4 linked regions of the Arabidopsis thaliana genome follow. The protein of the gene in region 1 interacts with the protein of each later gene in a pairwise test. Each region holds a gene or a part of one and is shown on either strand. Other genes may lie near its edges.

Region 1 (5,806 bases):
CAAACCCACCATCTGATTTCAATTCAACCCAACGAAATGTGAAGGAAATTTCAAAATCAAACGATAAAAATCATGCCTTTCAGAATCATTAAACCTCACCGTTGTAAGAATAACTTCTAATTTTCTGTATCGAACTCCTTGACAAGCGAAAAGGAGAGGATGATGAATCGCATTTTCATACTTGTGATAAGCTGTTCCTCTCGAGACTACATGCCGAATCACGTTTCTACTTTGCCCAACATAAGCCATTTTCTCGATTCAACAATATTCAGTGCGACAGTCTACAAAGAGAGATTCCACAACAAGGAGTGAGAAAACCCTAGAAAACGACGGATATAAGAGAACAGAGAAAACAAAAAGAGAAGTTAAGGAAGAATCAATCACCAGTGAAGCGGCAATGCTACGACGGTGGAAATGGCGACGGCGGTGCGATGCGACGTCTCTTTTTCACGAACTCGAAGAAAGGTGAAGCCGCAGGTGAGGTTTTAGCAGTGGCTATTTTTGTAAAATACGACTTAAGATTTATCTATGTTTTCACCCTAAACTTTATCTAGGGCAAAAACACCCCAATCTCAATGATGTTAACTCAAGTGAAACGCAGCGTTTAAGTTCTTCCAATATACATAGGGGTGGTGTGAATTAAAGATGAGTCTTTAATGATTAGTCATTCGGATTAAACTTTAATGACTTTTTTAAATAAGTTACAGAACAATGTAAACAAAGAAGACTAATAGACAACATAGAAACCAAAGAGTGATGGTCAAAATGTGGAATGTTCATCTAAACTACTGCTTACTGAAATCCTAATATTCAACAAGTCATACATAACTCCACATTTCTCAGTTTCTTGATCTTCATCTCTGTGTTGACTGATGATCTGGTCCAAGTTCACGGTCCATCCTCTTGTACTGCACCAAACAAGGAACGGAAATCAGACTTATAGATCAGTACAATACGGATATAAAAGTTTGGAAAGAGAGAAACTTACTGCTCAAAATGAAGCCTTGAAGCAAACTCTGAGCTCTCTCTGCTTGCTCGGGTGTACCCGAAATTCGAATGATATTCTGTGTTTCTTCTGGTCTGTCTTCAACTATGGTTACACTAGCTCCAGACCACTGTGATCAAGTGGGAAAGAGATAAGACAAAGCGTCAAAGATTTTGATTAGAGTCATGATTTGCACCAATCTAGTTCCAGTTAAAAAGAGTTCTACCTCACTGATTTGTGCAAGCTTGTTTCTTGATTTCGTAACGAGCTTAGGAACAACCGCCTCTGGTAAGACAACTTCAAGAGTGCTTCTAGTAACAAGTGGTACCGCCATTCTAGAGAAAAAAACAAAAAGCAGGAAGGAAAGGTGTGAAACAAGCACTTGTACGGTTTTGGGAAAATATATCAAATTTGGGAGTTTCTCTACCTGCTTGTCGTGACAGGAACCTCTTCCCGGTGTTCACTTTCACCCGCCTTTGCAACTGATCCGAAACCTTCCTATAAAAACCAAGAGAAAAATATATGTAAATATAGGGACATTGCACGAATGGACAAGAACCATAGACTACTTTCCAAGTATTCAGGTAATTATGCATAGCCTGATAGTAATATTACATTGTTTCGATGGCAAAAATAAGTCTGACCCTAACTGATTACAGATGCCTTTATATTGAAAAGATTGTTGATGAGAACAAAAACCTTAAACTGTGGCAAGATTGTGCTAACTTGCTGCAAGTTCAGATTCGAACTAGTAGGACCTTCACGAGATTGAATTGTGTTATTTGATGAAGCTACCTCCATTACTCCTGCAACACCTTCGAGAGGGCCAGTTGTGGATGTGGAAGCTGGTGGTGTCTCCTTTTGAGAGAGCTCCTTGAACATATGACTCCTCAATAGTAATGTTAATTCAACAAGTGCTTCCCGAGCAGCTCTGATCTCGCCAGTAATCTACATCGACATTCACATAAGAATTCTCTTTTGAGACCAGAAGTTGTTTAGAAAATGCTCGACTCCTCAAAAATAGACAAACATACCTGTATAACAACATCATTGATAGAAGCACATCGGGGAATTTCTTCCCTAGCTAGAATTTGTACGCTTGTTCCAGTTAATCGTGATATCTCAGATACTGATCCTGCTTTCCCTTCCAAACATATAGAGTCTCTAGATGGGACAAGTAATCTTGTTGTTATTAAATTATCTTTATCCGGAATAAGATCTATGATCTGAGTTTGAATGTGCAACAAGGCTTCTTGAGCAGGGAAAAATGGATCATCAGGTGCCTAAGCAAAGTAAGAATACAAAACTTCAAGTTCACAATTGTAAATGTAACAGATAATATTGAAGAAGATCTGAGGGTATTTAGAGTACCTCTTCCGAAGAAATGGTGATTATCTGTTCATCAGATCCAGCAACTGGGTCAGATACTCTAACGTCCACGCCGATCTCGTTCTGAAGCAAATCAATTATTCCTTGCGATTCCCCAACAACCCGAACAATCTTGTCAGCTGGGCAGAGAATCTGGAACACAAGCTCTTCGGAGTAGACATTCTCACCAACTGGAACTGCTGGAGCTTCTTCTGCATAGTTGGACTGGCGAGAACTGAAGTTGTTATTTCTAAAATTACCACGAGGAAACCTATCGGATGATTGTCTTCTTAGCTGTGGCATGTAATCATCCCCCGCAGCTGCAAACGACCGTTCTGGTGAATGTGAACGCCCTTGGAAATTACTCCGATCACGATGCTGACTCTCCCTTAGACGAGATGATACAATGGCTAAAGCGTTTTTCACTGCATTTAGTTCACCTACAATCTGAAAGAACCAACATTATAAATGCATTTCCCATAGGTAGAAAACACCAAAGAAAGCTTAAACATAACAAATAATGACCAAGCTAACTACATAAGAGTGATTCAACTCTTGTCAACAACCTCAACCTCACAATCACACATTTAAATTATCTAGCATTTCAATAAACTGACTACATTTCATATCAAAATCTCAACAAGATTCACCATTTCAAATATGTTCTCAAAATAGCAATTTTTCAGACCTGAACAATCTCTTCAGAGAGTGAAACACAACGAGGTAAGTTACTTTCTCTTGGAAGAATCCGAATATGAGTCTTAGTTTCAATCCTCATCTGCTCAATAATCTTCCCACCTTTACCCAACAAACAACCAACATGCATCCTAGAAACCACTAATCTAGTCACAACTCTCCCTCCACCAGGTCTAACTCCACCGTAATCCTCCTCCTCTTCCGGCGGAGGTCCACCATAACCAAACTGAGCTTCACTCTCCAAAATCCTGTCATGAACACTAAACAAAGCCTCTTGAGCAGGAGAGAAAGACGGCATTCTCCCATCAGGGTCACGCCTACGATTATCAGAAATCTCAATGATACGCTCTGCATCTCCAGGAACTAGCTCGTGCACGTTAATCCACGCGCCGGTGTGTTGCCTTATAGATTTGATAATTGTCCCGGATTTACCAATAACACCTCCTGCTTTAGCGTCGTGACAGAGGATTCGATAAGTCGTTGTTGCCATCGTTTCAGGATGAGACTTCGATGGCCGGCCATTTCCACCTCCACCACCGCCGCCGCCACGGTATCTGTTATTTCCTCCGCCGCCACCACCAAAGTGGTAATTATTGTTGTAGCGAGGTTTAGACCTAGGCATGGAATCTCCGTCATAGTCTTGGTCATAGTGGTAGTTTCTCTTGGATCTAGATCTCTCCATTTGAATAAAATCGCAAACCCAGAAATCAAAGTTCAAATCTTTAACTAGTCATTTATCAATCTCGCAGCAAATTTTTCGAATTCGAGGGTTTTCTGAAGGATTAGAAAGTTCACAAGCCCTAGAAGGAAGTCTACAGTACCCAATTACTTTCCTTTTTACCGGAAATTGAAAAAGGAAGGAACTTTCCGGTCAATTTCACAGGAATACTTGGAGGGAGAATTCAAGAATGTCCAAAATCGATGGAGGCGAATCGGTGCAATGCAAAAATCACCAGCTTTTTGTGTGTTTTGAGGGTTCTTTCCTGTGAATCTAAAAAGCCAAAGCTTTTTGAAGTTTGAGAGTAGAGAGAGACCGTGCAATGGGTGATGTTAGTGGCGTGCGCTAACTACGATATTAGCTACTCCCAAACGTTGTCGTTTTGGTCTCTTGGGAAATTTGGGTATGCTTCATCTTTAAAAACTCGTATTAAGCTAAATAAATTGTTAGACAAATGAATCGTCATCAGATTTTCGCATAGTTATTAGCACTGATGAAGATGAATTTTTGTGCTCACGTAACGTATTAGTAGATACTAAAAATGTATAAATAATTTTTTTCTAATAGGTAAAAATGATATGATTAATACGTAACCAATTAGATGATTTTTCGTGTTATGTACGAGACTAAAACTGTAGACACGTATGTGTTTTTTTCTAATTTAATTTTTAACTATTTATTAACCGCGGTATTATGTAATTAAGTACATATACTAAAACTGTTTTTGGAAAACAAAAAATCCTTTTAATATTTACCAGGTAAAGTATAATTGGTTTAGTGTTAAAGTTTAGCATATGGTAAAAATCATTTGGTGCATCTAAGTATTGCATCCGTTGAATACCATTTTCATCACCAATCCGTAAGGACAAAAAACGATTTACTATCCCTTTTCAGCAATTTAATTTGTATTGCTTCATTGACAAAATTAATTTTTCAAGAGTTTAAAAATAAAGAAACCAAACTCTCATTGCACTTTAAGTCTTTAACTAAATGATCACTTTTGATGAAAAAAAAAACTAAGGATCAGTTCACAAAAACAAGCAATAACAAATTAACAATACAAGAAAATCGTCTCGCACTTATGGTCAAAGACTCAAAGCTTAAGTTGTTGGTGGATCGTTTCGTCTAAATTGTGAGCCTTGACGGGCATAAGTACTTTCCAAATGATAGGTCTTCCCAACAAATATTTTCCGTTTCAGGAGAAGGTATTGCGTTTTCAGGTTGTGCTACGACAAGATGGTGACCTAAACTATATATAATGAAAAAGCAGCCACGAAGTCATGGAGGTTTTATTATCACATGTCCTGGTGAACAATTATCTAGTGTCCAGCATAAAATGTCAGTAACGATCTTGCCTTGTTTTGTGTCTCGATCTGTCTTCTCCTGAAACCACACCAATATAATATAAAGCAACGCGGATCAAAATAGCAAAACATTATAAAGTTCAACAAATTGAACCGGAGATTAAAATAGTGTAGTGACTACTTCAACAAATGGTCTAAGTTGCTATTGTTTTAGGTTAATGCTCCACTTGTGTTCAGACCCATTATCGCTTCTCTTATATATGATGCATATGAATTCCATTGACGTAGTACTACTTCTACTTCTAGCGTTTTTCACGTGCTATATTTCTATACAACATAGTTTTCTCGTGTAAAAAATTTGACCGTTGACCTTTGTTAGATATTACCCGCCAATAAAATCCAGCCGACCAATCCTACGTGGCAGTCCTAACCTCCACCCAAAAAACCGAACCGAACCACACCACAGACCCAATCTCTCTCTCTTCCGATAGAAAAGTCCTTTCCTTTCTTCTCCTCTTCTCCTCTCCGGTTATTCAAAATCTGATCCCACCCAGATATCAGAGTTTGAGAACAAAAAAAGCGATGCCGTTTTGCGAGGTCGTGAAAGAAGATGTCGGCCCAGAGACGACGCTTAACAATGCCGCAATCAAAATCTTCTACAGAACGTACGGTCATGGTCCTATCAAAGCTCTTCTCATCATAGGTCTGTTGTAATCTCCATCTTTCCCATTTGAT
Region 2 (4,799 bases), on another chromosome or scaffold:
TCTCAAAGCCATTTCCTACTAAGTAGCTGCTATGACTTGCAATTTGTGATTTTAGATTGTGGAGATATACCTTCTGGTCTTCAAGAGGAGTGCCTTTCACTGCAAGTAGAGCATTAATGGGAACACTCTCAGGGTGAGAAGGAAGTGTTGCCAGCGTGTGTAATAAACCTATTCTGTCTTCCTCTGCCTCACCAAGCCCTATGATTCCTCCTGTTTATCGGTAAAAGAAAACACTTGAGAACATGTCGTATCTATGGATTTATCAAAATCAACGAATATTACAAAACTGTGAGTCTAATGACCAAGCTGAAGACAGGTTTCAATCCTTTAGTTCTATAGAATTGAGGCATACAAGAATACTATTTTCATATCAAAGTTACCTGAACAAACGTTGATTCCAGCATCACGAACATGGCTAAGAGTTTCAAGGCGATCGTCATAACTTCTAGTAGTGATGACGTTTGGGTAGTACTCTCTTGAAGTATCAAGATTGTGGTTATAAGCAGTGAGGCCAGCCTTCTTTAGCTCTAGTGCTTGTTGTTTCTCAATCATGCCTAAGGTGCAGCAAACTTCCATCCCCATGCCTCTGTTTTAAAGTGAGAGCCCAGAAAGTTAGTAAACACATTCAGCCAGACACCATCATCAACATCATATTCATTCTGCTCACGGATACATCAAGTACACTTTGAAATTTTCACTTTAGTTTGACATGCAAAAATGTTCATTCTAGAACCATTAATGATCGGTTCGGTGGGTTATCTTTTAAGTTAGCTTAGATTCAGAAGCAGCTGAAAAAGGGATCATATAATGTAGTATAAACAAGGAAATTCAAAGTTCAACTTAAAAAGCATAATAGTAAGGTACCTTATTTCTTTGATGTATTCAAGAATCTGGCTGAAGTTGGTTTTCCGTCCAATTGTATCTCGCCAAGCAGCACCCATGCAAAAACGTGTGCTCCCAGCTTCTTTTGCCTAACAACACATCAAATTTGTTAATTCAAATCAGAAGAGCTCATTACATCGTCAAAATGCTTCATTAAACAATTAGAGTCTTTTGGATAGAGATAGAGCTCGGATTGATAAAAACAACGTTTTGGTACATAGTAATGCATGTCCCCTTCTTCTTGATACATTCTGCTAAGGATTCTACATTCAGCAAAAATAAACATTCACAAGAAAAGTGCAAACCTTCTTAGCAGCATCAATGACAGCGTCCTTAGACATGAGTCTTTGTGCCTTAACTCCAGTGCTATATCTCGAAGACTGAGGACAATATGAACAGTCTTCACTACAGCCACCAGTCTTTATGGAGAGGAGGGTACATTGTTGTACCTCCCTGAAGTTATGAACATGTCTATGAACCTGAGCCTGAAACCCAAAGAGTCCACACACCATCGTTATTCAAGTAAAAGACAACTGATAACGAGATCAGATGAGCAACCAAATGAATAATACCTAGCTCAATAGACATTACAAAGACACTAAAATCCGGGAAATTAAGACAAATGTTTCAAAGAGAACAAACATGTTCTGGGTTAAACTAAAAATCGATACTTTCCACCAATAATTTAACAGAAACCCAAAGCTTTCTACTTCAAATTTGTGATTTAGAGTAGCTAGAACAACAAAGAGAAGAGTAAGTGAGAGAGAGAGAGAGAGAGAGAGAGAGAGAAGAAGAAGGGTAAATTACTCCATGGAAGAGGAGGTCAAGAAGAGGAGAATCATAAACAGACTTGATTTCATCTCTACTCCAATCGTTTCTGGGACCTTCTCTGATAGTCCTCTCAGCTTCAGCTGAAGCAGCAGATAATGAAGAATAGCAAGAAGCAGATTGCAGACCACCCGAGACAGAGGGTCGCAACTGAGATCGAAATACAGATCGAACAAGCATCATTTGATCTGCTAATCAGAAAATGTGGAAAAAGAAGAAGAAGAAGAAATGAGATTTGGTGTTTGGTTTGTGCTAGAGCTTTTCACTCTTCAGTGAGTGATTCACCTAACCCAAAGCAGCCACCGTTGGAGTTTCCGCCTTCGTGTGGGACCTACGAGAATATCATATATCTTTAACTGGGCTGTAATAAGCCCAATTTATATGTTGGGCTTTTTAATAGTAATCAATTCAAACGACGACGTTATTCTTTATTTCCTTAAACAGCCGGAGCCGCCGTGAGAGAGAGAGAGTCGGGGGAGAAGAAATGAGCGGCGGAGGAAACAACGTCGTGAACAAAGTGTTCTACGCGACGTCGTATCATCCGATTCAAGCCGGAAGTATCGACGGAACTGATGTTGCTCCACATGATAACGGCGTCCGTCGAGCTCTTCTCTGTTATAACGCTGGCTTATGTATGTATACTCTCTCGTTCTCTCTGCTCCTCTTTTCACTTTTATCGTTTGGTTTCTGAATTCAAATACATTGATTTGGGTTGTTTTGAAAGATGATCCTTCTGGTGATTCGAAGGCTGTTGGAGATCCTTACTGTACTCTCTTCGTGGGTCGTCTCTCTCATCACACTACGGAGGATACACTTCGAGAGGTTAATGATTGAAATTTCACTTAGTTTTTGATTTTCGTGTAGACTATGTTTTGAATATGATTATAAAAGTTTCTTCTTCGTAGGTGATGAGTAAGTATGGCAGGATTAAGAACTTGCGCTTGGTAAGACACATTGGTAAGATTTTGCAATTGCTCTACTTATGACATCAACACTTTGCTTTATCTTTAGGAAATTTATCATCTTTCTATTTCTGATGGTTTGTTACTTTCTACCAAGATATTTGTCTAAGCAGAACTGTGATTACATATTTCCTCTAAGTTCCACATTGTGTAGTATTGAGTCTCCTCTTCTTGTTACCTTTTTTTAGTGACGGGAGCTTCACGAGGATATGGTTTTGTGGAGTATGAGACTGAAAAGGAGATGCTTCGTGCTTATGAGGTGCTGTGATACTAAATTGCATTTTCTTTTTACCTCTTGTTTTTGTTGTTGAAAGCTGTCTGAACCACTTACTAAGGCACCGCAATGTGATTGTTTCATTAACATCTCCGTGTAATTACTGGAAACTAGTGGAGTTTGTTTATCAGAGTGAGAATTTTTTTGGTGTTTCTTTAGCAGGATGCTCATCATTCACTAATAGATGGGCGAGAGATTATTGTTGATTATAATAGACAGCAATTGATGCCTGGATGGATACCAAGAAGACTAGGTTTGCCATTCTTTACCTTTATTTTTGTCTGTAATGAAATGTCATAGGCGTTATATTTTCATCCCTTACAGATGAAATCTATTTCTCTCTTAACAGGAGGTGGCCTTGGTGGTAGGAAAGAATCCGGACAACTTCGCTTTGGAGGACGAGATAGACCATTCCGTGCTCCCTTGTATGGTTTTGCTTTACTCTTCCTTTAGCATGTCCAGAGATAACACCAGCTAAACATAGTGGTCATGAAATGGGCATTCTTTCTATTTGTTAATATCAGACGACCAATCCCTCATGAAGATTTGAAAAAGCTCGGTATTCAGCTTCCGCCTGAGGGAAGATATATGTCGCGCACACAGGTCTACCATGTCTTGAACTTCACCACCACTCTATAGTCATTTGAACTTTACCCCTGTTCTGTCTCTGGTGCTATCTTATTGGGTCATTTGTTAATGTTCTTCTGCTAGAAATAATATATTAAATGGGTTGTTCAATGTGTCTAGTGGAAAGCTGATAGTTTGTAAACTAAAATCTTGGTACCACAACTTACTTGTTGGATGCAGATCCCATCACCTCCAAGGAGAAAAGGAAGTGTGTCGGATAGAGAGGAAGAATATTATCGGGAAAAGAGTTCTGTAGAACGGGAAGAAGAGTTTAAAGAGCGAAGCAGCCTTAGGTCATATCACAGTCACAGGTCGAGCGCACACACACACAGTTCTCATAGAAGACGCAGCAAAGACAGAGAGGAGTGTTCCAGGGAAGAGTCCCGTTCTGATAGAAAAGAGAGAGCACGAGGTATGGAAGATCGATATGGTGACAACAAGGGTGAAGTTTCTGGCAGCAAAAGATCAAAACGTTCTGAAGAAGACCGATCTCGCAAACGTCATAAACACTTGCCTTCCCATCATCATAGGAGGTCCTATAGTCAAGATCATCATTCTTCCGACTAAGTAATCATATTGTAAAAAAAATAACAATAATATTTGGTGTTACAGATTTTTTTTTAATAATATTTGGTGTTAGAGACTTTTAAGAGTGCCTTTTGAACCAAAGAAAAAAAAAGTGTAGTGTATGTTAATCAAATATAGCAAAACAGAAATTGTCTTTTTTTTTTAGTTACAAACAAGATATTTGTTTTGCAATTAACATGAGTGAATTGTCTTTATATCTTAAATTATGGCCGTATAGATTTGATTGTTAAGATATAAAAAAATTTGGGATGATGCAATTTGTAATTTATCTAAATGGATAAAATAGTTCATCAAATATTATTATTTTTATGAACTATGACATTACAGTTGGATTTGTTTCTGTAGTTTATCTTATATTTCTTTTTTTAGAACTAATGAACTATTATTATCTTATATTTTGTTTTGTATTGAATTTGTTCGAATATAAAAACTCACATTTGATGTTGAAATAGAGATTTAGTTTGTCTGTGTAGATACTAGATAGTTGTTGTATCAACAGACAGAATTGAAACTTGGTTTCAGATTCTTGTTTTGTTTATTCAAACTCACTTTGATTTGATTGTATTTGTACCTCTCATGAATTGTCTATTAGGAGGATAGAGAGTCGCCTCAGATTGACTAGAGACAATGTCATTCTC
Region 3 (4,482 bases), on another chromosome or scaffold:
TACAAAGTTGTATGGATTTCACACAGAAAAGGTAATTGCAAAATAGAGAGAAAGAGGTGCAAAACACATTTGAAGAAGTGGTGAAAGAAATCTCGTAGAAAGGGACACCTGAGTAAACGATGATATGATATCCTTTGCACTAACTCCCAGTTCAGCTAAACCTATGACGGCTTCAAGTACATAAGGACACTGCCTGCAGAGATTAAAGATTATATATATGTTTACTATGTGTTGAATTGGTATTTAACGTAAAAAGTGAGATATTATAACAGTGTTTCTATGCTAGGAAATGTTGGGAAAGAAAACGAAAAACAGACCTTAAACACTCTTTATAAAAAGCAATAGCACCACGGTTGTATCCAGAATTTCGATGAAGCTTTGCCATCAGTATATTCATCTCTAAGCTCCTGGTCTTGACAGATTCCATCTGGCAAAGAAATAACAAGTGCAAAAATAGATTATAGCTAAGCAGACCATGGCTTTATCATCCCTAATACCTACATGCAGTGTTGGAAGGAATCCAATTAGTTTACTTGTTTTGTAATATGGATTTGCATTGATGGGAGCAGGTCAACGCAACAAAATTCAACTCACATTCAGGAATACTATAACAATGCATTAGTTACGGCCCAAGAATGTTTCACTGAAATTACAGTTACTTAACTCTGGTTATAAAATACAATAGCAAGACATAAAAGTCATCCTATACAAAACCAATCTATAATCTTAGAAATAGAGAAATCCCTAGACAGCTCTTTTACCGTCTCATACACACATATTTTATTTTCTATATACCAAAGTTTCTAGACCAACAAATCCAGAAGACTAAATAAATCTTGAAAACCAGACAAACAGATGACACTCATACCTCAGCAATCGCAGCTTTTGTTTCATTAAGAGCAAAGTGAGATGAAGCAATCTTGAATCTCACCTAAAAGGAAAGTTAGAAAAAGAAGATGCACATGAACTCCAATGAAATTAAACCAAACCACATCACTTTCTGGAAACTGCAACACAGTTATTTACCTCGTTCTCATTAATAGCAGAAATGCTGGAGGCATTCACAGATGATCTGGTAGATAAAGATAATGAACTCCTCGAAATACCGGAGCTTTGCTTCGGAATCCTTGTGTAATGATGCAACGCTTGCTTGTACGTATGCTGACAAAAAGAAGGAATACATATTCAGAATTTCGAGATGACTTCAAAGTAATCCACAGGAAAAGAATAAGCAATACAAATATAAAACTTATCTCTGCTCACTCCATAAATTCATATAATCAGAATCTTTACAATTTTATCATAATCCAGTCAAATTCAAGTTCCGAGAATGATTTATAGAGTTCAAATTTGAGGCAGAACTAAACTATCGAGAACTGAGTAACATTTCCTTCACAGCAAAAGAGAAACATAAAGAATGAAACTTTTGAGAACTTACAATAGCTCTCCGGTGTTCTCTCTGATGAAATAAAGCATCACCCAGTAGAATCTGATTAAAAAACACAGAAAGAATCTAACTTCAATCTAACGGACTCAGCAGCTACTAAAATAGAAAATATCGACGGAGAAAGAAGCTTAACCAAATTCTCCGCCTTGAGCTGAGGACTAGTTTCGGCACTAACAGTAGGAGAAGAAACGAGAAAGCAGCCCTGGATTTAGTTGCATATATAGAGAGAATTTCATTAGCTCTTGATGAAAACTAGGGATTTAGAAAAAAAGAGATAGACAATCAAAATGAGCTAAAAGCTAGAGAAGTTACGAGCATTTCAGCAGAATCGTAAAGCCCATGCTCTATTAAAGTCGCGATCTGCTCCTTTGGAACCTCCATTTCAGAGACAAGAGAGTTCGTCGTTAGTGGCAATGGTGAAGTTTTTTCTTCGGAGCAGCGATGAAGTAAAAGATCCTTCACGCTCGCTCTTCATTTTGAAACAAGAAATCTCGAACCGAGTCAACCCAAACCGACATTAACCGGTTATCTATCTGAAATCCATCTCGGTTCATTAAAACCCGACTTTTCCAAGAGCCCGACTTCACCGAACAATCTCTATCTCCGGTCATGCCTCCATTACCGTCCTCCACGGCGCCTTCGTCTTCGAGACATCTTCGATCGCCGGAAAGTATCGCGAAATTTGCAGGGAGAGCAATATTTCCTGCTTTACAGGGGAAATCGTGTCCGATATGCCTCGAAAATCTAACCGAGCGAAGATCCGCCGCCGTGATCACGGTGTGCAAGCACGGATACTGCCTTGCTTGTATTCGGAAGTGGAGCAGCTTCAAGAGGAATTGTCCTCTTTGTAACACTCGTTTTGATTCCTGGTTTATCGTTAGTGATTTTGCTTCTAGAAAATACCATAAGGAGCAATTACCAATTCTTCGTGATCGTGAGACTTTAACTTATCATCGGAATAATCCTTCCGATCGCCGGAGGTTATCTCTCTCTCTAAGATCCTCTCTATGAAGTTAAAAATCACTTCTTTATTATATTCACTTGGTTATTATTTCATTAGGATAATTCAAAGGTCGAGGGATGTTTTGGAAAACTCTAGCTCAAGATCAAGGCCATTGCCATGGCGGAGATCATTTGGACGACCAGGTTCAGTTCCTGATTCTGTTATCTTCCAGCGAAAGCTTCAGTGGCGAGCTAGGTTGGTTTACTATTGATTCTAACTCTATAGCTTCATTTGCAATCTCCTTTTTCGAAGTGTTAGATTAGTTCGCCGTTGTTTCTAACTAGTGTTGGCTCTAAATACAGCATATACACTAAGCAATTACGAGCTGTTCGATTACATTCAAGGCGCTTGGAACTAGTAAGTTTCATTATACAATGTGTTCTTCTCTGTTTGATGTTTGTAGTATTGGGGTTTACACTCTTACATTATTGGATATATGTTCACATTGGAAGCCTTATATATACCTGCTTCGTTGTGTCATCTTGGATTATTGTAGAGTTTGGCGGTGAATGATTACACCAAAGCAAAGATAACTGAAAGAATTGAGCCATGGATTAGAAGAGAGCTTCAGGCAGTCCTTGGAGATCCTGATCCCTCAGTTATTGTTCATTTTGCGTCAGCTCTTTTCATCAAAAGGCTTGAGAGAGAGAATAATCGACAAACCGGGCAGACCGGGATGTTGGTGGAAGATGAAGTCTCCTCTCTTCGAAAATTCTTGTCTGATAAGGTGGATATATTTTGGCATGAACTAAGGTAAGATTTTTATACGCTAGGGTTTTTTCAGAGTTTCAAGTAGTTACAGGTTTAGTATAGTAGTACAGAAAACACATAGGCAACCTAAACCTAGTGACTTGTAAGTCTGAACAGATGATAGAGCTGATATCTGTTTGGTTTAGGTTTTTTGGTCATATACTATTTCTGATGAGAAAGAAAACATTTTTCAGATGTTTTGCGGAGAGTATACTCACGATGGAGACTTATGATGCAGTGGTTGAATACAATGAGGTGGAGTAATAGCAGTAAAAAAAACAGGTAAAGAAATTAGGATATGTATTATGTGGGTTTGGTTTCACTAAGTAGGAACCTGTTTTGCTTCGATGGTTTTTTTTCTGAAGTCATTATGTTGTATTCGCTTGCAGATAACCGAGCACTATGCTCTCGTCAAATGAAGTAAATAGACAGACTTACAACGCGACTGTTGGTGTCTTGGAAGTTCAATAGTGGAAAGACTGGACCAAGTAAGAGAAACCAAGAGTTAAAGAGTAGGTAGGAGGAAGATGTTGAGATGATGCAAGTTTAGGTGTGGAGTTAGTTTTGAGATAGCTATAGGTGGATTCTCAAATAGCTGACACTTAGTCTCTCTACTTCCATAATGTACGTCTCTTCTATACCAAAAATTCTCACCCCCAAAGTTTCTTTCCAACGCTTTTCCTCACCTCATCATTTTTTCTTACGTTTCGAGTACCACCTATTTCAACAACATTAAATATTTTCTATAATTTGACTATCAATTTTTAATAAATTAAAACTATACATAGTTTTAGATAAATTACACGAAGCTTCCATAGAAGAGGAAAGTTCATTTGAATTTCTCTTCTAAACCGTACCTTAAAGATTAAATGGTGAATATACACGGGGAAATTTTTTTAATAAACAACGCGTTCTCTATTAAGGTATTGATTGATATAAGTAAGCAAGCGGGTGTAACACAAAATAAAATATTATAAAAGGCTTCTTCTATAGGTTGGTAAGCGGCAATCCAGCTGCCATTGCCTATTTGACTTCCCCCATTCGATCATGGTGAGCTCGTCTTCTCTCTTCTCCTCTTATCTCTTTCTCTACCATTTTCTTTTGCTTTAAAGCTCTCTCAATCATGATCATGAAGACCCCCATCACAGCATTCCATTCATCCTCATGAATAATTCTACATCAGGTTTCTTCTCTTTCCCTTTCTGATTCTCAACACTCTTACCACATTTCTACTTTTGTGTTGTATATCGATTTTTGTTCTACATTCTTCCAAATGTCAGGG
Region 4 (7,627 bases), on another chromosome or scaffold:
ACCTGTAGAATTGCAGGCAGAGGATCAAAAGGTCACAGAACAAATTGGCCACAGTGAAAGGATCGCTAGAAGGCTTTTTATATGTAAACTGAAAAAGAAGAATGTGTAATTAGGTCGAAGCTCTTTGTTTGTTTCTCTCCACGATAAAAGATATTTCCCATTGGGAAAAAGTTATTGTATTTTGGCTTTGGCGTGAAGAGTTTCAGCTTTTCGGTTTGTCAATGGCAGACCTTGGAAACGACAGTACATGAACCGAGTGAGACACTGAATTTATTCAGGATCTCTGTTTACTAGTACAAGACTGGTGAATGCTTTATGTGTAACAATATTTTCTAGATTTACGTCACTTCTCTGTTTTCACATCTAATTAGATTAGCTTAAGGCTCATTATATTGACTATGTAATATTTTGCCCTATATATGTTTAGTGTAATTTACACATTTGGACAAAACGATTTAGGGTGAAATTGTTGTAATAACATATTTTGGGGTGTTGATTGTGAAAGTAACAAAGAGAAGAAAATAATCTCTGCAAGGGTAACATTAAAATAGATAAATGATCCATGGACCAAAATCTACATATTGCCACGGCCCAAATTGTTCAAGAGTTTAGCAAAGATCATATGGGCTGGATCCAAGAGGTTTATTATATTTGGTCATTGTTCAAGTATATTTGTTTTTTTGTTTTCTTTTCATACATTACTGTTTATTGAATATGATTCTATCAAAGGTGAAGTTGTATAAAATGGGGTGGGATCATCATTTGTAAGCATTCAAGTGTCTCGTTCTCTAACTTTCTTAAGTTTGTTGGCTTTCTCTCTAACTCTTAAGTATCAATTTGGAGAAAAGCACGAAAATTTAAAATATGCTAAGACTACTCGTAATAAATTAATAAAAATCAAACTATGCATTATCTAAAATCTTCTGTATATAAAATTTACACAAAATTTTAAAATTTGAAAAAAAATAAGCTAGCGTTGAGCTCAAATCCGCTCAAGATCATCCTCTAGCACCATGTACACAGTGCATGTACGAACACTTCCAACCCTCGATTACAAAACACCGGATTAATATATGATCTTTCCTTAGAATGAGTGTACTCCACAAAGAAACATGAGAGGTTTGGAAGATAAACATAAGCATTACCCAAAAAACCTTATTCATTTGATCATGCCTGCCATCGTCTTACTTCCCTAAACATGTCCTTAAAATGAAGAAGTGAACCTACCACATAATTCAATTTCTCCCCCATTTTTAACATTCGTAAAATGTAAAAGAAAGGAAACTATTTTGTTAAGTATTGTTTTTATGGCTATCCTTTTTTTTTTTTTTTTTGTCAAACTATGGCTATCTTTTAAAATGGGTAGGTAAATATATAAATGATGTTAATGAATAATACTACTCTTTTAATTTATATATATATTTTTGTTTTTTGGAGATAGGTGATCCTTTATTCGCTCTATTTTATTTTAATCGGCATTCATTTTACAATTCACAGGAAAAAAAAAAAGAGAGAGAGGAAAAGCTGAGTAAAACCGTGCAGCCCTGAACTTCGACGCTTTCTCCTCTTTCAACCAATCCGTTGAACGTCGTCGTAATAAGCTTCATCTTCATCAATCATCATCACTTTCTTCTTTCTCCCACAGATCCTTCCTTTTCTCCTTCATCTTCCCCTTCTTCCTTTTCCCTCATCGCCCAGGAACACATCCGATCTGCACCCTCTTCGTTCGATTCTCACAATTAATATCTAGGGTTTGCGAGGACCCCCCCTCTCTATTCAAAAAAAGAGAGCAGATTTTCTCTATAATCCCCTTTGGTCAGTTTCTTCTCTACCTTTTTTTCCCCTTTGTATTCCAGAGGAATCGAGTGATGAGTTTATAGAATTATCGCATTTTGAAGTAATTTGGGTCCTTTTGTAGAGCTTGATTGACATTTCTGGAGACATTTGTATGTTTCAGAGCTCTTTTTTTGTTGCTGTTGTTGTTCTAGCAAGTTGATTGCGAAATTGTCAACATTCTGGGAATACGTCAATTGTTTTTTTAGTATTGCGGTCATTTAGTCTGGAACCTCTTTTGATTCCGCAGTTTGACGATCTTTCATACTTTTAGGTTTCTGTACCAATTTGATTGTCGAACATTGTCTTTCTGTTATGATGGTGAATTTTAGAAAGTATTTCAATTCATGTTGGAGAATTTGTATAGGCAGTCTGATTCTGCAACACATTTCACGGTAGCAGTGTTATAGCAATAGTTCTTCAGTGTCGGTCTTGTTTGATTCTTTGGGATTTGAGCTTCAAATTTCATTTGTGAATCTGATTCTGTATGTGACTTACAGGTTTCAAGTGGTGTAATTGGATCGTGTAGCTGCTTTTATAATGACCTCTAGCACGACAGGAGATCGAAGGTTTCTCTTCTTTCAACTTTATCTTTGTCATGAACTTTTCTATGTTTTTATACTGGATTATGGGTTATATATTGGCCTCTTTGCACGTTACTTGCATGATTTTTCTTTTGATTTGGCCTTTTCTTCATATGAATTACTTGTTTTCGTTGTGCTGTATATTCCAACTGTTGTTAAAATATAGAATCACTATATGTGCCTGGGGTATAGAAGGAAACTCAGGGTGTGGTTTTTCTTTCTTTGAAAGAGCTTGCTTGCATGATAGACATTCACCATGTATTTGTAATAATTTTATTCAACATTATTATTGATTTGCAACATGCCAACATCACCATTTAGATTAAAAGAAGGGAAAGTTGTAAAATGTGTGTAGAAAACATATGTAAAGAGCTGATCGTTTTTTTAATAAATTGTATAATCATTTATACTTTGCTCATTTACACTTAAAGAGCTTTGTATCCTCTGTGGTGATGATGAGAAATTACATGTGCTGGATATTAGCAGATGGGGTACTACAAGAAGAAGTGGCATGACTATATTGGGAAAGGTTGCTGTTCCAAAACCGATTAACTTACCAAGCCAAAGGTATTTGATGAGCGCATGATCACATTTAGACTTCATATATATGTATAATCTCGTTCCCTGAACACTTCTCTTCTGAATTTAAGGTTAGAGAACCAAGGCCTTGACCCAAATGTAGAAATTGTTCCAAAGTAAGTTTGTACCTGTTTGAGATGCTATTTCCCTCATTCTTTTTCGTCCTCAAATTTTAGATGGTTTAATTTTCTTCTGGACATCTATTTTAGGGGAACACTTAGTTGGGGCAGTAAATCATCACTGAATGCTTGGGGGACATCATCCTTGTCACCACGAACTGAAAGTGGCCCTGGTTCACCAAGCCACCTCAGTAATCGACCTTCTTCTGGTGGAAGTGTCACTCGACCTTCAACTGCCGATAGTAACAAAGCACATGACTCTTCTTCTTCTGTTGCATGGGATTCGAACTCGCGGCCTTCATCAGCATCTGGGGTGTTTCCATCTAATCAGCCATCAGTTGCACTACAGCGTCCACATAGTGCAGACACAAGACCAGGAAGTTCCCAGTTATCCCGATTTGCTGAACCCGTGTCAGAGACTTCTGCAACATGGGGTCAACATGTGGCGCCAGAGAAGTTGGTATGGTTCTTCCCTTTAAAGTCGTCTCTAATATTTATCGGGACTCTGCTAAGCATCTTTTTTTATCCTTACATCTGTGAAGCTCCATGTCACTCTTCTCTTACTTCACTTGTGCTTAGTTACAACAAACACACAGCAAGTTCTTATGTTTTTGGGACTGTGAATGGTAATTACTTTTTGGGATTAATGATTGATATTCAATCTAGATAGAACTTTAATAGCTGGATACATCATTCGTGTTTGCTATGGGAACAAGATTAGGATGCTAAATTTGTCAAATTATAGGGCACTTATTTCTCTTAGAGAAATGCTTTGTAGTGCGTAAGATAATCTGACAACTGAGTGGCACATGGTCTCCAATAAGTCTCGAGTTCTGGTTGGGCAAATAGAATTTGATGGAAGGGTTTTTGTATTATTATTTGGCAAACTTCAATCTTCAAGGTTTTTTTTGAAGAATAGTTGTGTACAATTTACCCACCTTTGCATTATCTACCATGAAATTTATCTTCATTCTTAGACTTCTCATTGTTTTCTACAGGGAGTTGCTCCATCAAAGAATGATGGGTTTTCTTTGACTTCTGGAGATTTTCCTTCCCTTGGTGCTGAAAAGGACACTTCTGAAAAGAGTACAAGGCCACAAGGTACCATCTATTAACAGTAAAAATTATTGTGTCATCCATGCATTACAGTACTTTGATTTAAGAATAGTTCTCTTTGCTCTTTTCAAAAAGTACGATCAGCATGTAAACTAGGAAAAAAAAATTGTTTCAACTTGTACACAATTCAATCTTATACTCGTCGTCCTTGCCTTCAAGGGAGTGACGTTAGCACAGACGGGTTCATTTTGAAAGTTGGTACTTCTAAATGTAATTCTGTTGAGAAGTTTATCTACACGGATATTCAGCAAAGTTAAAACTTTCGGGAATGACCTTTTTTTTTGGCTTGCTGTTGGTTGACCACTTTTTCGATCTTAGATGACCTCCTAATATGTGCCACTGAGAATTTTAGGATTACCTAGATAGAATGTGATGTGCTTATATGAAGGAGATACGTTAGACATGGCTCTTAGAAACTACAAATTTGCAGATGCTGGACCTCACGCTCGTCCTCCATCTTCGTCTGGAAGATCTGTGGAAGGGCAAGGTGTAGATTGCACAGAAGGTTCTTACTTTCAAACCTATTTTTCTATGTTTTGGGGATATACAACAGATGTTGGCATCTCATTTCGAGAGTTACTTATGTTTATAATCATCTCTTATGAGAGGGCCATGTTACCCTCACAGGTGTTCATGTGAATTCTTCTTACTGCTTTATTCCCCGTACATCTTTTTAGTGGATGTTCTCGCGGACACTATATTTGACCATATCTTGTCTTTTATTTGCAGAAGCTAATGACCGGATTGGGGATGCCAATTCCTGGAGAAGAGAGAATCAACCATACAGTGAAGATGCACCTAGACATTGTAGAGAGGAAGGGCAATTGGACTCACGTGGTTCACAATCTTATCCTAATGCTAATTTTCCTCCTCGGTATGATGCTTGGCGTGGTCCTCCAGTAAATAATCATCAAGGAGGTGGCTGGTACGGAGGGAACCACCCGTATGGTGCCCCAATGGGTCCTGGGGGTTTTCACATGGATCCTTTTCCATTTTATCCTACGCAAGTTCCACCTGCTCCTGGACATGGGGCTGGTCCTAGGGGTAATCACGCTAATAATGAAAGAATGTTCAGACCTCCAATGCTTGACTCTTATGTCCACCCAAGGATGCAGACTAGGCCTGGGTTTTATGTTGGTCCAGCGCCACACGAAGGCTACTATGGTCCTCCCATGGGGTATGGCAGTCCCAGCAACAGAGACCTACCTTTTGCAGGTAGGCCTACTGGTCCGCATGCTTATAACAATCATTCTGGTCAAGGTGGATATGATACGCCTGGAAGTTCAGTGTCTTTGGAACGGAACGAGTCATCACATTCTCAAGAAACACAAAGGCCATACAAGGTTCTCCTAAAGCACCAAGATGGGAGGTTTGGGGAAGATAATGCAAAGCGGGAAGAATTTCTTGGAAATAGGCTCCCGAATGCAGAGAAGATAGCTCAACAGATGCAAACTTCAAGAAACGAGAGGAGAGAAATCAGAAATGACGCAAGTGGTGAAGTACAACCAGTCAAAGCAGAACTTGCTGCCCCTGGAGATCCTAGTTTGATTCAGAAAATCGAGGGCTTAAATGCAAAAACTAGAACTAATGATGGTTGGCAAAATTCGTCATCTGTTGTTAATAGAGATGAGCAGGAAAGCCAACCACGTACACTCAATTCTGGGAACTCTGCAAATAAAGTTTCAGCCAGAAATCATCGAACTGGTCATGCAAGTGACAGTAAGAACTCATCACACTATAATCAAGGTGATTCTGCCACAAACAAGAATGCTGAACCCGCAGCTATGGGTGGAACTAGCATATTCAGGTCAGTTATCATTTTTCAATTGTGTTTCGGCCAGTTATGCCATCCTTTATGTCGGGAAAGTTTTGATGTTAGTACCTACAGGAGACCTACTCAACAGACTCAAGGCAGAGCAGATCCGCAGACCAAACGAATAGTGAACAGTGAAGGCAATGATGCTTGGCAGAAGACAACTGTTATGTCAGGCTCCTCCCATACAACTTTAGCTACAAACACAGAAAGCTTTCGCGAGGTTAATGTCGATGACTCTTTGGATACCGAGTCCATCAGGAGGCCTGGGTCGGGAATATCAGCAGACCCAAAGGATAACCAGGTATAAACTAGTTCATATGATTCTGGTTGTTATTTATACTTTTATGTATCTCTTGTTTGTAGTCATCCTTTTTTGGTTTGACTGAGTGTTTGCCATGTTCCCTTAAAAGCGTTCTACGATGAGAGAGTTAGCCAGGCAGCGTGCTCAACAGAGGCAGAAAGAGGAGGAAGAAAGAGCGAGAGATCAGCGGGCTAAGGCTCTTGCAAAACTAGAAGAGTTAAATAGACGTTCCCAAATATATGAGGAGGGTTCAGTTAAGAACATGGAAGCTGCATCTAATGCTTCTCCGGCTGACATGCCAACAGATCCTGGATCTCATTCATCTAATGCTACAAATTCCGTAGAACCTACTGGAGGATCAGGAAAAAACACAACGCAAAACACGAGGACTTCAACAGAATATGCAAATAATGTGGGCCCTTCCCAACAGGATAATCTTCCACGTGATGGCGGTGCCTCAAAACAGAAGCGCTTGGGTTATAAGCAGAAGCAAAATATTATATTTGAGAAAAAACCGACAGGGAGCTCTGTTGCTACTGCAGAGGTGTTTGATGTTGTCCCGTCTCCTGAGGTTGTTAATGAAGGTGTCTCAAGCAATAACTCAGACATGCCAGCGACGTCAACCGTTTCAGCTGAGTCAACTTTCCCGAAAAGAAAAAATAACAGGAATGGTAAGAAAAAACACAAGGCTGAGGAGACAGCAACTATGAATACTACAAGAGTTGCCGTTGGAAAAGAAACAAAATCGGGAGATGAGTCAATTGAGACTGCTAGGGCAAGGGCAGCTGAAATTGAGTTGGGGTCTGTTTCAGTTCCAAGCCTGGATATCAAAGTGTCTGGTGATTCGTCTGAACAAATCAGTTCCTTCACTAATGAAGAGTCTCAAAACAGAGCTAAAAACAACTGGAAATCTCAACATGTGCGTAGGACTCAAAGAAACTCACTGGTAAATAAGCCTGCAGAGAAATTTTCTGGCAACAATGCTGTTATTTGGGCTCCAGTACATCCACAGCAAAAAGCTGATGTTTCCACTGGTGGAGGGAGTCAGACTACTGTCCCTGAGTTTGGCACCTCTTCAAAAAGTCAGCATCAAGGACAGACTAGTTCTAAAAGCAAAAGAGTGGAAATTGAAAGATATGTACCGAAGCCTATAGTAAAGGAAATGGCTGAGCAAATCGTCAGTAAAAATCTAGTAACCTCTGCTCCAGATATGTCGGAGAATGTAAACCAGAAAGAAAATCGTGGAGGTGAGGGTACAGGAATTCTCCAACCTTCTGGT

What was found.
Region 2: the proteins of RCF3 (region 1) and AT2G43370 interact in a two-hybrid assay, tested with the Arabidopsis thaliana proteins (one large-scale study listed by BioGRID).
Region 3: the proteins of RCF3 (region 1) and AT2G39100 interact in a two-hybrid assay, tested with the Arabidopsis thaliana proteins (one large-scale study listed by BioGRID).
Region 4: the proteins of RCF3 (region 1) and MOS1 interact in a two-hybrid assay, tested with the Arabidopsis thaliana proteins (one large-scale study listed by BioGRID).

Annotation. Positions count from the first base shown.
Region 1 is NC_003076.8:21,513,280-21,519,085, reverse strand, and holds RCF3 (RNA-binding KH domain-containing protein), read right to left. Parts: upstream 4,191-5,806; 5' UTR 3,732-4,190; coding exon 3,042-3,731; intron 2,801-3,041; coding exon 2,357-2,800; intron 2,269-2,356; coding exon 2,020-2,268; intron 1,934-2,019; coding exon 1,685-1,933; intron 1,484-1,684; coding exon 1,413-1,483; coding exon of another isoform or gene 1,409-1,412; exon of another isoform or gene 1,381-1,408; intron 1,321-1,380; coding exon 1,212-1,320; intron 1,116-1,211; coding exon 989-1,115; intron 909-988; coding exon 889-908; 3' UTR 539-888; downstream 1-538. Other genes in the region: AT5G53070 (Ribosomal protein L9/RNase H1), read right to left, coding at 100-249; AT5G53050 (alpha/beta-Hydrolases superfamily protein), read left to right, coding at 5,654-5,774. UniProt on the Arabidopsis thaliana protein: Acts as a negative regulator of osmotic stress-induced gene expression. Involved in the regulation of thermotolerance responses under heat stress. Functions as an upstream regulator of heat stress transcription factor (HSF) genes.
Region 2 is NC_003071.7:18,011,237-18,016,035, forward strand, and holds AT2G43370 (RNA-binding (RRM/RBD/RNP motifs) family protein), read left to right. Parts: upstream 1-2,031; 5' UTR 2,032-2,194; coding exon 2,195-2,342; intron 2,343-2,434; coding exon 2,435-2,532; intron 2,533-2,615; coding exon 2,616-2,667; intron 2,668-2,860; coding exon 2,861-2,931; intron 2,932-3,108; coding exon 3,109-3,199; intron 3,200-3,295; coding exon 3,296-3,371; intron 3,372-3,470; coding exon 3,471-3,549; intron 3,550-3,753; coding exon 3,754-4,140; 3' UTR 4,141-4,294; downstream 4,295-4,799. Other genes in the region: BIO2 (Radical SAM superfamily protein), read right to left, coding at 71-210, 381-586, 865-971, 1,188-1,367, 1,690-1,893.
Region 3 is NC_003071.7:16,315,406-16,319,887, forward strand, and holds AT2G39100 (RING/U-box superfamily protein), read left to right. Parts: upstream 1-1,950; 5' UTR 1,951-2,056; coding exon 2,057-2,427; intron 2,428-2,507; coding exon 2,508-2,645; intron 2,646-2,752; coding exon 2,753-2,807; intron 2,808-2,946; coding exon 2,947-3,203; intron 3,204-3,394; coding exon 3,395-3,464; 3' UTR 3,465-3,482; intron 3,483-3,589; 3' UTR 3,590-3,982; downstream 3,983-4,482. Other genes in the region: APC7 (tetratricopeptide repeat (TPR)-containing protein), read right to left, coding at 109-193, 318-427, 869-931, 1,027-1,161, 1,439-1,489, 1,581-1,649, 1,760-1,828; AT2G39110 (Protein kinase superfamily protein), read left to right, coding at 4,365-4,383.
Region 4 is NC_003075.7:12,731,052-12,738,678, forward strand, and holds the start of MOS1 (modifier of snc1), read left to right. Parts: upstream 1-1,626; 5' UTR 1,627-1,751; exon of another isoform or gene 1,752-1,815; intron 1,816-2,333; 5' UTR 2,334-2,373; coding exon 2,374-2,402; intron 2,403-2,900; coding exon 2,901-2,984; intron 2,985-3,067; coding exon 3,068-3,112; intron 3,113-3,205; coding exon 3,206-3,575; intron 3,576-4,113; coding exon 4,114-4,216; intron 4,217-4,619; coding exon 4,620-4,736; intron 4,737-4,960; coding exon 4,961-6,038; intron 6,039-6,119; coding exon 6,120-6,348; intron 6,349-6,457; coding exon 6,458-7,627. UniProt on the Arabidopsis thaliana protein: Involved in the regulation of the chromatin structure and DNA methylation at the SNC1 locus. Regulates the expression of SNC1 at chromatin level.